Caenorhabditis elegans: one gene and its partner. The protein of the gene in region 1 interacts with the protein of each later gene in a pairwise test. Each region holds a gene or a part of one and is shown on either strand. Other genes may lie near its edges.

Region 1 (7,899 bases):
CTTACAATAAATCGTTGTGCAAGTTTGATAGGAACAATCGATCCTTCGCTGCTCATTTTGAAAATATTGAAATAATTCAATTTTACGGTTTTTCACTTAAAAACACCACGTCAAAAGTTTTGAATTTTTTTAATCGATAAATCCCCACGTAATTATTTTTAGGAATTTTTACGGGTATTAAAAAATTCTGAGAATGCGTATTACACAGAACATCTGACTCGCAAAATATCTCGAAGCGAAAACTACGGTAGTTCTTTAAATGACTACAGTAGCACTTGTGTCGATTTACGGGCTCGATTTTTGTAATGAATTTATTTATCGATAGAACATTTATTTAAAAAGCAAAAAAATGAGACTATTATCCGATGAAATATTTGAAAACAAATTCATATCGAAAAATTAGTTTTTTTCGATTTTTTGATATGAATTTCTTTTCGAATATTTCTTCGGATAATAGTCTCATTTTTTTGCTTTTTAAAAAAATGTTCTATCGATAAATAAATTCATTACAAAAATCTAGCCCGTAAATCGACACAAGTGCTACTGTAGTCATTTAAAGAACTACCGTAGTTTTCGCTTCGAGATATTTTGCGCGGCAGATGTTCTGTGTAATACGCATTCTCAGAATTTTGTGTTACCGTAATAAATCAATTTTGTAATCCGAGAAAAAATCTCTAAAATAAGATTTAAAAAATGCGCAGAACAATTTAAACAAAAAATAGTTTTTTGCTAAAAAATGTAACTTTTTTTTGCAAATTTGAAAGAAAAATCCTGTAAAATTTGGTGGAAACTCCGAAATAAGTTGAATTTGATGGGCAAACACAAAAACAAAAAATTTCTTCGAAAACTAGCTTTTTTTCTTCAAAATTTTGATTGATCCACATGGAAATCCCCATTTTCCAGGAAATTTTCATTGTATTCGTTCTAACAATTCCCCCAGATTGTGTATGTATTCAAAAGTTCATGGCTGGTGGCACGCTCTGAAAACCAATTTCCGAAAAAATCGGATTTCCGAGTATGTCCTCTCGATCTTTTCAGAACGAGCAGCTGTTTCCAGCTTTCAAAGCACGATGGAGGCGGAGCTTCCATGAAGACTGAGTAATCGAGGATGAGAGTGTGAAGACGCAGAGAAGCGAACTTGTGACCGCGTAGAGCCCTCCTCCATCTTCGGCTTGAGTTTCCCTGCCAGACGGGGACAACTTTAGCACCAATAGAACCCTCCTGGGTCCATTTTTCTTGGTTTTTGGTCGATTTTTAATTAAAAATTGACAGAAATTCTAGATTTTATGTTTAAATTTATTTTTTTTTACTTCCAAAAACTTGATTTGATTAAAAATTGAATTTTCACTGAAAATTGGACTGAAAAGTTGGATAATTTAAAATAAATTGGCTCAAAAACCTCTTTAATTTATTTTTTTTGCCGAAGATGTAATGTTTTATTAGTCTAGAATTTATTATTATCATTTTCCTTCAATTCAAATTTAGATTAGAAATTCAGCTTCAGAAATTTCAGATAATTTATAAATTTTAAGGAAAAAATGTTTTTTTTAATTTACTTTTAAAATAAATACAATTGAAAAAAATTGGAAAATCAAAAAAATCCAATTTTTCAACTAATTTTAATTTTTTTTTAATCTGAAACATCAGATTTTTTAAAAAATAATTAATAAGCTTTCGCAAAATCTCTAAAGTCAGTTTTTTTCGAAATTTTCAATTTTTGTGTGATTTTTCGAAAAATAATTGTGTTAAAATTATTTTTTCTTTAATTTGAACTGTAGTTTTATATTTTCTTCGACCCTTAATTCTCATTTTTAAAATTGTTTTTTTCTTCATGAAAAAATTAAAAATTTTTCAGTTTCAAACACCCCACAAAGTAATGTCAGATAAGCATGGCGAGGAGGACAAGAAAGCAAAAATGCATTTAAAAGCTAATGATTTAGTGAGTTTTTTCCTATTTTTAAAATTTCCAATATTAATTTTTCCTGAAAAAATAAAAAAAATAAATGAAAATTTAAAAAATCAAGATTTTTTGAAATTACAGTAACCCAATTTTTAAAGGCGGAATATCGGAGCATCGTTTATATTCATTTTTGAATAAAAATCAATTTCTTTTTGCAGTTATGTGTCAATGGATGCGGATTCTACGGGACCCCACAGTGGGAGAATCGTTGCTCAAAATGTTGGAGAGCTCATCAGAATGAGATGAAAAAATGTCAGGATTTTGCGAAGAATAGGTAAAAAATTGAAAAAAAATGCCTAAATTCGAATTTTGAATACTTTTTTAAAGAAAAATTCCAAAAAAAAAAACTCTAAAATTAAAAAAAAAATTTCATAATTCCACGAAAATACCTTGAAATATAAGGAAAAAATCTAAAATCTCAGAAAAAACCTGAAATTCCAAGAAAATTCGTGGAAATTTCAGAAAAATATCGTTAAAATAAAAATAAAAAACCCCTGAAATTCCAAGAAAAAATCGCTGAAAATTCGAAAAAAAAATTTTCAAATTTCAGAAAAAAAAAAACCTAATTTTCCGCTCAAATATCCCTTTTTTCCAGATCTCTTCTAAGTTTCGATCAATTCCAAGAGCGGCGTAAATCGACAACAGAAAGCAAGTCACGTGGCATCAAAAATCTGTTTAAAACGTCTCCGATTCCAGGTAAGTGTGGGGATTTTGCTACGTGGCCGTGAAAAGAAAAACTCGGCCACAGATTTTTTTTTTGAAAAAAGTTTTAAAATTTGCTATTTTTCAGAAGGCGGAACCAGTTCACCAACTTCCACGTCACCGGCGAGCACACCAACTCGGTGGGTTTTTAAGAAATTTTATAGTATAAAAAAAAATTTTAGGTGGTTTAAAAAAGTTCTGTTGATTTTTTCAAATTTTAAAGCAAATTATAGACCTTTTCACTGGTTTTCGAGTGATTTTGTAATTTTCAAAGCCAATTTTCAATAATTTCGAGTTTTTTTTAAAACAAAATATTCAGGAAAAGTGATTTTAACCGATTTTCGGGTGATTTTAGATAAAAATTCAGATTTTTTTTTGAGGATTTCAGACAAATTTTCAACAATTTTCTACTATTTTTCCAGTTTTGAGGCCGTTGTCTGCAAAACAAAAACCAATTTTTCCGCGATTTCGAGCATATTTAGGTTATTTTAGACGTAAAAGATGTTTTTGGATTCAAGATTATTAAAGTTTTTTTTTCTAAAATATCTTTTTTTCCGCAATTTTACCAGTTTTTGGACTCTAAAATTTAGGCCAATTTCTGTCAAAAAGTGGGCAAAAAATCTGAGAATTAGTGGTTGTTGTTGTTTTTTGTTTACGATAGAGTTGTTATTCTATATACAGCTGCTGTGTATATATTTATGCATCTCTGCCACTTTTTTCTCTATACGAATAGACGATGAGCTTTAGTCGGACGGGAATAGAGAGTTATTTTTTGTGATTTGATTTGGGAAAAAAAGAGGGAAAAGTCTGAAAATGACTGAAAAATGTTTGAAAAACCCTGGAAATTCATTTTGAAAGGTTTATAAAACATATTCTCGAAATTTAAAAAAATGCTTTAAAAAGTAGAATTTTTCATAAATTTGCAATTTTGAAAAACAGTTTTAAATTATCGGTCAATTTTTGAAAACTGTATAGTTCGAAACAACGTTTGCCTGGGAATTCAAACATGGCTTGATTTTTTTTTTGCAAAATTGAAAAAATATATATGCAATTTGTTCAATTCCTTTTTCAGTCACTACGCTATATTTTCTAGAAGAAAATATATTCTAAGAACATTAATTTCTGAAAAATTTGAGTTCAAAACGAGCAATTTTAGATGTATAATCTCCCCTCTTTCTCTGTCTGCGTGACCGAATACAAAATGAGAAGTGGTGCGTAAGAAGAAGGAGAGAACTACATTCTAAGGGCACTTAGATTTCGATCTTTTGAGACTTTTTTCAGTTGGAAAATGGGGTTTTTAGGGGGATTTTCAATGCAAAAATCAGAGAAAATGCTTTTAGAGCAGTCTGAAAGTGCGGAAATTACCAAAAATTAGCTCAAAACCTAGAGAATATTGCTGAAAATTCAAGTTTCAAACTGAAGTTTTGAATTTTCTAAAGCTTTTCAGAGTTTTTTTGTTCTAAAATTACCTGTAATTTTCATCTAATTTCACTGGAAAATTGACTTTAAAAGTAGAATTTTAGCCTATAATTGAGGTTTCTAGAGCACTAAGTATAGAACAATTTTTCAAAAAATTCGTATTAATATGTACCTGAAATCTCATTTCTAAGATAAAGTTCAATTTTGTAATCAATTTTTTTGAACCTCTTTCTGATCAAAATTGTATAAAAAACCCTAATAGTAAGCATAACTTTTGAATTGACTAAAAAAATTAATTATTATGATTTTTAATATTAAATTTTTAGCTATTTTAACTAGATTTGGAGTCAATTTTTTGTGGAAAAAAATCGATTTTTATAGGACTTTAGGATAAAAAAGTTTTTTATTTCGAATTTTTAAATCAAAACCGAAATACAAACAATTTTCGTATTTGGCAGAACCCAAAAAAAAATCCTAAAACCACTCCAAAATTGGCATTTCTCATTCAAAAAAATTGCACCTTTTTTGAGCAAATTTGACACCAATTTTTTTTTTCGAGTTTTCGGTTTTATTTTGAGAAAAATCGAAAAAAAAAGGAAAAATTTTCTAACAGTGTTTTTCGGTTTCCAGGAAGTAATAAAAAATTCATATCGCCACATAATATTATATCAAAGAACATGTTTGTCTGAAAGAAAAAGTTCAACTTTCTTGTGAATGAATAACTAATTAATCACTGACTCATTTGTCTAACAATTCTGAGAATTCTTTTTCCTTTTTCCATTTCTCGTTGACACGTTCTCCTTGTTTTCGAGAGCAGCTTCTCTCCTAAAGAAGAAAAAAAAGAAAATGTAATTGAGAGGAGCTCGCCGAGCTTGGAAAGACACGGAGAGAGCACACTTTTTGCTTCTGTTCCTGAAAAGTACATGAACTACTTGGTTAGTCATTGTGCTCACCACTCGTGGGACAAAAGAAAAGTGCATATTCAGATGAAATTTGCATGGCATAATAGAGTAGTTTCTATTAATTGAAATTGACAATTTGAAAAAAGAATTCGTTATTTCTGGAATTTGGGAAATTAAAGTAGCTTCAAATAGTAAAAAAATTAGTAAAACTGGGGGAAAATGGCAAATTTTCAAAAAATTTGGACTTTAGAAATTTACAGCATTTCTCAAATCATTAAATACCAATCAGAGGTGGGCGGATATTTTTTCGGATATTTTCTAATAATGAATTTATCAATAAGTATCGATGTAGTTATTCTGGAAGACATGTATCCGAACCAAAGAGTAACTATTAAGCAACATTTAATATGATAATCCCTAGAAAAATTCTACAAGTTTTCCTTACCGAGACCTTAAAACTTATTAGCCGAGCAACATCGGATATCGGATATTACGGATATTACGGATATCGGATAATGGACTTGCATATCGTTTATACAGAAAACTTGTAGAATTTTTCTAGGTTTTATCATATTAAAATGTTGCTTAATAGTTACTCTTTTGTTCGGATACATTTCTTCCAGAATAACTACATCAATACTTATTGATAAATTCATTATTAGAAAATATCCGAAAAAATATCCGCCCACCTCTGATATAAATAGAACCTACTGATATTTTCCAAATGATAAAAAAAATTCTAAGTTCAATAAACGGGTGTTTAACTATCCAAAATAGATATCCCAAATAATCGAAGCAAATAAAAAATACCGAAATTAAATATCAACGGCTTATTTTATTTTTTTGTAATGTATAAATTCATATTCTGTAAAATATAAATCATAAATGTAAATATCTGAAATTTTCAAAAATAATTGTTTGCATAGTCTGAAACAGTATAAAGGATTATGTGAAGTTTTCTAAAAATATTTTTTAGAATCATGAAAAAATGTTCAGAAAATTTGGAAATTATGGGAATTTGTTTGAAACGAAATATTTACTAGAAGCCTCTGAAAATGTCCTTTAAAGTCTGAAATCAGCCTAGATTATTGTTAAAATTCTTGGAATTCTGAAATTTCTGAAAACTTCTCTGAAATCGTTTAAAAAGTAAAAACAAATGTGGTTATACAAATAGTGTCAAAAATTGAAAAGTGTAGAAAAATTATGTCACAACTGTATTAAATAACATACAAACATGTATTTTAATACGGCTGTGACGTCAGAAATGTATTTCAATAATAAAAACCGTTTTTTTTTACATTTAAAAATCAAAAAAATCAAGAAAATTAAATATTTATGAATTCAATACCAAACGACCGAGAAGATCACATGTTTCAAAAATCAAAAACTCAGTCAAAAATAAAAATTTGTTATATTAAAAAAAATAGTTGTTTTAATTTAACCTCTGCGAAATCTTAAATTGTTTTATCAAATTTGTTATATCAAACATTTCAAATTGAATTTCAAAGTAAACCAAATAAAAGTCATTCCAGACGTCGAGAACTCTCCCCGGATTCTCTGGAAGCCCGTCAACAATTCACCGATTTTCTCGTAGCGAATCTCTCAACAGGAATGGCTCAAGAAATTGCTCGTTCAGTGAAAAACGCGGTGAATAAGATCTCAGAAATGAGAATGAGCTCAGATGATATGTCAGAACTTGTAATGAGTTATTATCAATATCTTGGAGAACGAATCGGTGGACATTCGTTATTTGATTCACCGGATTGTAAAGTTAAAGTGGAAGATGTGATGGACCAAGTGGAAAAGTATATATCAACATTTTGTTATTCAATATTCTTTTGTGCAAATCATGAAGAAGAAGTAGCTGATATGTCGTTGCAAGACCGTATTCGATCACTTCACTGGGTTACTGCTGGATTTCTGGAAACTAAGATGGTTTTTAAGAAACAAACGGTTCGAGATAAAATTGATGAAGCTATTTCGGAACTTATTGAGATTAATGCAAAACGATCTGCATTTGAGAAGCTTGATTGTTTGACGAAATCTTGTAAGGCGATTTTTGAGGCGCTTAAGGAGAGTGGTGAGTTTTTATTTTATCTGGAACAGATTTATAAAAATTTTAATGATAAATATCAACAAAAAAAAAACAGAAAAATCGGTTTATTTTTCTGAAAAAAAAAGAAATTATTTTCTATTTAAAAAGTGTATAATTTCCAGTTTTCAGACAACTTTTTTATTCAATTTTTTAAATTTTTCAAATTAAAATTATTTCAAATACATGAAATTTGAAAAAAAAATTTGGAAAAATATATATTTTTTTAACATTTGGAATTTTGACGAAATTTAAGTTTTTTTCTATTTAAATAAATTTTTTTTCAGCATCAAACATAATTTCGTACAAATTTCCTGGACTTTATTGGAATTGGAAAAATTGGAAATTAAATTGGAAAAAAAATTTCAATCAAAAAATTCGCCGAAAAACTTCAAAAATCCGGTTTTTTGTTTTTAAAATGTATTTCCTAACAATAAGTTAGTGGAATTTGAAAAAAAAAGAGTAAAATTTCATCGAAATAGTTTAATAACAGATTTTTAAAAAATTTCTGAACGAATTTTCCGAAAAAAATTCCAAGAAAGCCAAATATTTATGAATTCAATCCCAAAAGACCAAAAAAAAATCACCTGTTTCAAAAATCAAAAATTTTCAGAAGCTTCAACATCGGCTGACGAATTCCTGCCAACACTAATATACGTTTTATTCCGTGGAAATCCGCCGTTAATTCAATCAAATGTCAAATTTATATCAAGATTTGCAATTCCAGCGAGGCTTATGAGTGGAGAAGCTGGTGAATATTTGAATTAAGCATCCAAAATTCTCGAAAAAAAATTTTTATAGAAAAAACTAGATTCTGCAATTTA
Region 2 (4,276 bases), on another chromosome or scaffold:
TTGTCCTTGTCCACGTGGTTCGAGTACATTCCCAGTCATCGGCTCGTATCCAATCAGAACTTTTTGTGGCGGCTCGAACCATTTGAATGCTGAATTAGAACATTTTTTATCAAGTCTTAAAAACTTTTTCTACCGAAAATTAGATTTTATAAGCGTTGGTTTATTGTTGTATGAATCAGCAACGGGACTCATTATTCCTTCAACAACTTGTGTATTAATCGTTTCGAGATGTGACCTGGCGACCTGAAAATTCATATATCATACATTTAATGTTTTTTTTATTTGATTACCTCAAGCATACGTAAATGTGCAATTGTTGGTGGATTGAACGACCCGACGGCAAGAAGAGCGACTCGTTTCATCGTTTTATCACAATATTTATTGAAACTGAAAAATATTTTGTTTTCTTCTGAGCTATTTAGAACGAAACGTTTTTGAAAAAATATGAAAAATATCGAGAGTGATCAGAAACGAAAAATTTTTTTTAAAAGTGTGTCAAAAAATGCAAGTCAGGTGGAAAATCAGGATACGTTTAGGAAATTTCTTATTTATTGAACCTTTTATTCACAAAATCGACAAATTTTTATGATTGGGAAATATTAAAATTAAGCATGAAACAAATTTAAAATGAGAATTTTAATGTGAAAACATTCTAATACAGTTTACTCTTAAAGGGACATGGCTCAAACAAAAAAAGTTGTCTCGCAACGACTCAGCTACAGTAGTCTCTTTTGAATTTTCTTGAATATTATTTGAGACCCGAAGAACTCGGGGGATGTCCAATTGGGGGGATTACCAACTCGGGGGATTGGCCCCGCCCACAGAACCGTGGCTTGCAATACGCCCATTTCTGCAACTGCCGCACGGTTTTAAAATTATTTTTTCTTGTTATTTCTCGCTCTATTGAGAAAAATACAGTTTTAAAACCGTGCGGCAGTTGCAGAAATAGGCGTATTGCAAGCCACGGTTCTGTAGGCGGGGCCAATCCCCGAGTTGGTAATCCCCCCAGTTGGACATCCCCCGAGTTCTTCGGGTCTCTATTATTTCACACTTTTTCCGCTTAATTTTGCGCGTTTTTTTTAAATTTAGCCAAAAATTACCGGAAAATAAAAGTTTTTCGAAATGAAAAATAATTTTCATCAAAAATGTAAAATTGGCCTAGCGCGAAAAAATATAAATTCGAAAGCGCGCGCACCGAAAAGCCTCCTCCCGTTTTCATCCATTTTTGTCTAACTGTCTGCGATGTCACACAAACATTGAATACTCAGTCAACTGCGCCCGTCACCACCCCAGAAGGTACGCAGCCAAATTGGCTACCCCCGACGAAGCCCGTGTGTGTCATCGATGTCTGTTGCGCAAATATTTCTTTTTTTTAGTTTTATTGATTTTCATATATCCTGCAATTTAATTCGTTCACTACTTTTGGATGCTTCCAGAAAACTAATTTTAATCTCAAACTTCATCAAAACTTGAGAAAAAAGTTTATCAATTAATCAAATTACACGTGATGAATAATATGCAGAGATAAGCAAACTGAATTGATGAAAATAGTGATCAAAACCCGTATTTCTTTATCGATTTCATCACAATTTCGTTCCTCGTGAGACACCCGTATGAATCAATAATACGCTTGTTTACCACTCTTCAGTCTCTCGCGTGCCTTCAATCTTTTTCGGAAATTGCTCATTTCAAATCAATTTTTCCACTTTTTAAGTACAAGGATTTTTAGAAATTTTTCTAGAAATTTCAGGGATTCAAAATTGTTTTATCAATGAGAATTGAGATATAGAATTTTAGTCGAACATTATTTTTTTTGTTCTTTCTGGAAAGAAAAATGCAACATTATTTCTCTTTGAAACCATTTTGATATTTTTTCAGCTGAATCCTCCCTCATATCGTTTCCTATGTGAAATTATGCTTATTTTTTGCTTGTAATTTATTCGATCGATTTTTAATGTAATAAATTCAACAAATTTGTATTTAGAAAATGGCCGCCCGAAACGCAGGAACCGCCCGGCCTGGAGGTCCAAACAGAACGTGCCAGTTCAAACTCGTTCTTCTCGGAGAAAGTGCTGTAGGTGAGTTGATACTGAAAATGGAAAAAACCGCTAAAGGTTGGAGTAGAAAATAAAAGCAAACAAGAACAGTTTTCCAAAAAATAAAGATTTTTTTATTCTACTCCGTTCTGTCTGTAGCATATTTCGCAGTTGCTGAAAACCGTCACAAAATTTCGAAATTGCGTTGATTTCGAAGTTTAATTCTTCGTCTTTTGATTGTTTATATGTTTAGAATTATGGGTCATCTGATAGTTGCTAGCATATGACGTATATGCTCTCTTATTTCACCTAAACATCACAGAAAACTATCATTTCAGGCAAATCATCTCTCGTATTGCGATTCGTCAAGGGACAATTTCACGAGTATCAGGAGTCGACTATAGGTGCTGCGTTCCTCACTCAAACTGTGAGTTTTTGAATTTTTTGTGAAAATATAACAATTTTCCCTAATTTGAACAAAAATTTTGACTAAAATGAAAAATCTCGAATTTTAATAATATATTGTTTTTTAATAATATAATTGCGGAGATTTTTGCTCGAAAAACACGGATTTTATATTGAAAGACGTAAAAACGTTAATAATTAAGAATTGAATTTTCGAAATTTCAGGTGTGCCTTGACGATGCAACAATTAAATTCGAAATCTGGGATACTGCAGGACAAGAAAGATATCATTCATTGGCACCAATGTACTATCGAGGAGCTCAAGCGGCTATTGTTGTCTACGATATTACCAATCAAGAATCTTTCCAAAAAGCGAAAAATTGGGTAAAAGAACTGCAGCGACAGGCATCTCCAAATATTGTGATGGCATTGGCTGGAAACAAGGCTGATGTTGCCAATAAGCGAACTGTTGAGTATGAAGAAGCTAATGCTTATGCTGAGGACAATGCTCTCTTGTTCATGGAGACATCTGCGAAGGTACATTAGAAAATTTGGATTTTGACAATAAAAACATGTTAACAGAGTACTGAAATAGATCAAAAACTAAAATTGTTATTAAAAATAACAATAAACTTTGTTTTCTGCGAAGATAGTTTTTGAACTAATCTCCATTAAAAAATGAATGAGAAATTTAAGATTTCCAATTTAAAATCAATTCTCTATTTATTTAATTACAGACCTCAATGAACGTGAACGATATTTTCATGGCAATAGCTAAAAAGTTGCCAATCGGACCAGCACAGGGTGAACCAACGGGAACTGTCGATATGAACCAACCACAACAGCAACAAAAGGGTTCATGCTGTAAATAAATTGACGACTTTTTCATGTACCATCAACCCTTCTAGCTCCGCTCCTCTTTTGTTCTATATATCTTTTGAATCCAACGCCTGTGATCGTCGTCATTGTTTTCCCCTCGAAAAAAAAACACTTTTGAACAAGTTTTTTGTGCTCGCTTTCTTTATTTATTTTCACTCTTTTAACCCATATTTTCTCATTTTTTGTATATTTCTGACTAATGTTCAGCCAGTGAATGAGCTTGCACAATTGGCTCTGCCCATTTGCTTTTTATATGCGAAAACTCCCATTTTTTCATTCAAATGTTCCAATTATTTATTGCTTCTCACCATCAACATCCAAGTCCCGAACCCCACCATCCCACTGTTAGTACTTTTCTCGTCAAAGTTTCACCACCTTTTTGTCAATTTTTTTTCAAAATTTTATAGCATCCTTTCAGAATCTATCCGAATAAATTGAAGTTCGAAAATGTATATACTTGGTAACACAAAACCCTTCGTATACGATCGATATTAGATATTGAATTCAATTTTCTGAAAAACAACAAGGTGAGAATTATTTGAAGAATACAAATGTCCGATCAACCTGGAACAAGTAGACCGCCTCTTCGAGCAGAACCAACGCCCACAAAAAGTAAATGCTTTTCAAATCAATTGAATTCAAAAGAAAGTTAAATTTAAAAATTAAATAAATTTACTTTAAAATATACAAAATCATCTGAGATTTTTTAATTTTTTTAAATTTTTACATTCATTTTTTAAATATGTATCTGATTTTTTTTTCGAAAAGCAATGAAAAAGTATGGAAAATTATTTGAAACTACAGTACTCTTTAAAGGCGCGCACCTTTTTATATTTAACAATAATTTGTCGTGTCGAGACCGGGTACCGTGCCTGTAGTGAAAAAACACAAAGAAAATAGTTCTGTAATTTTTGTCATCAATTTTAGCTTTTTAAATCAAACTTTCTAGTAGGAAC

The links. Proteins that work in one complex are often made in the same cells at the same time.
Region 2: the proteins of rabx-5 (region 1) and rab-5 interact in a two-hybrid assay, tested with the Caenorhabditis elegans proteins (one study listed by BioGRID).

What each region holds. Positions count from the first base shown.
Region 1 is NC_003281.10:10,603,494-10,611,392, forward strand, and holds the start of rabx-5 (Rab5 GDP/GTP exchange factor), read left to right. Parts: upstream 1-1,876; coding exon 1,877-1,939; intron 1,940-2,118; coding exon 2,119-2,234; intron 2,235-2,555; coding exon 2,556-2,656; intron 2,657-2,750; coding exon 2,751-2,802; intron 2,803-6,506; coding exon 6,507-7,063; intron 7,064-7,688; coding exon 7,689-7,826; intron 7,827-7,899. Other genes in the region: Y39A1A.2 (Reverse transcriptase domain-containing protein), read right to left, coding at 6-56.
Region 2 is NC_003279.8:9,306,458-9,310,733, forward strand, and holds rab-5 (small monomeric GTPase), read left to right. Parts: upstream 1-1,984; 5' UTR 1,985-1,987; coding exon 1,988-2,078; intron 2,079-2,374; coding exon 2,375-2,463; intron 2,464-2,666; coding exon 2,667-2,978; intron 2,979-3,178; coding exon 3,179-3,313; 3' UTR 3,314-3,764; downstream 3,765-4,276. Other genes in the region: nmat-2 (Nicotinamide/nicotinic acid mononucleotide adenylyltransferase 2), read right to left, coding at 1-89, 134-243, 291-362; uev-3 (Ubiquitin-conjugating enzyme E2 variant 3), read left to right, coding at 3,872-3,932.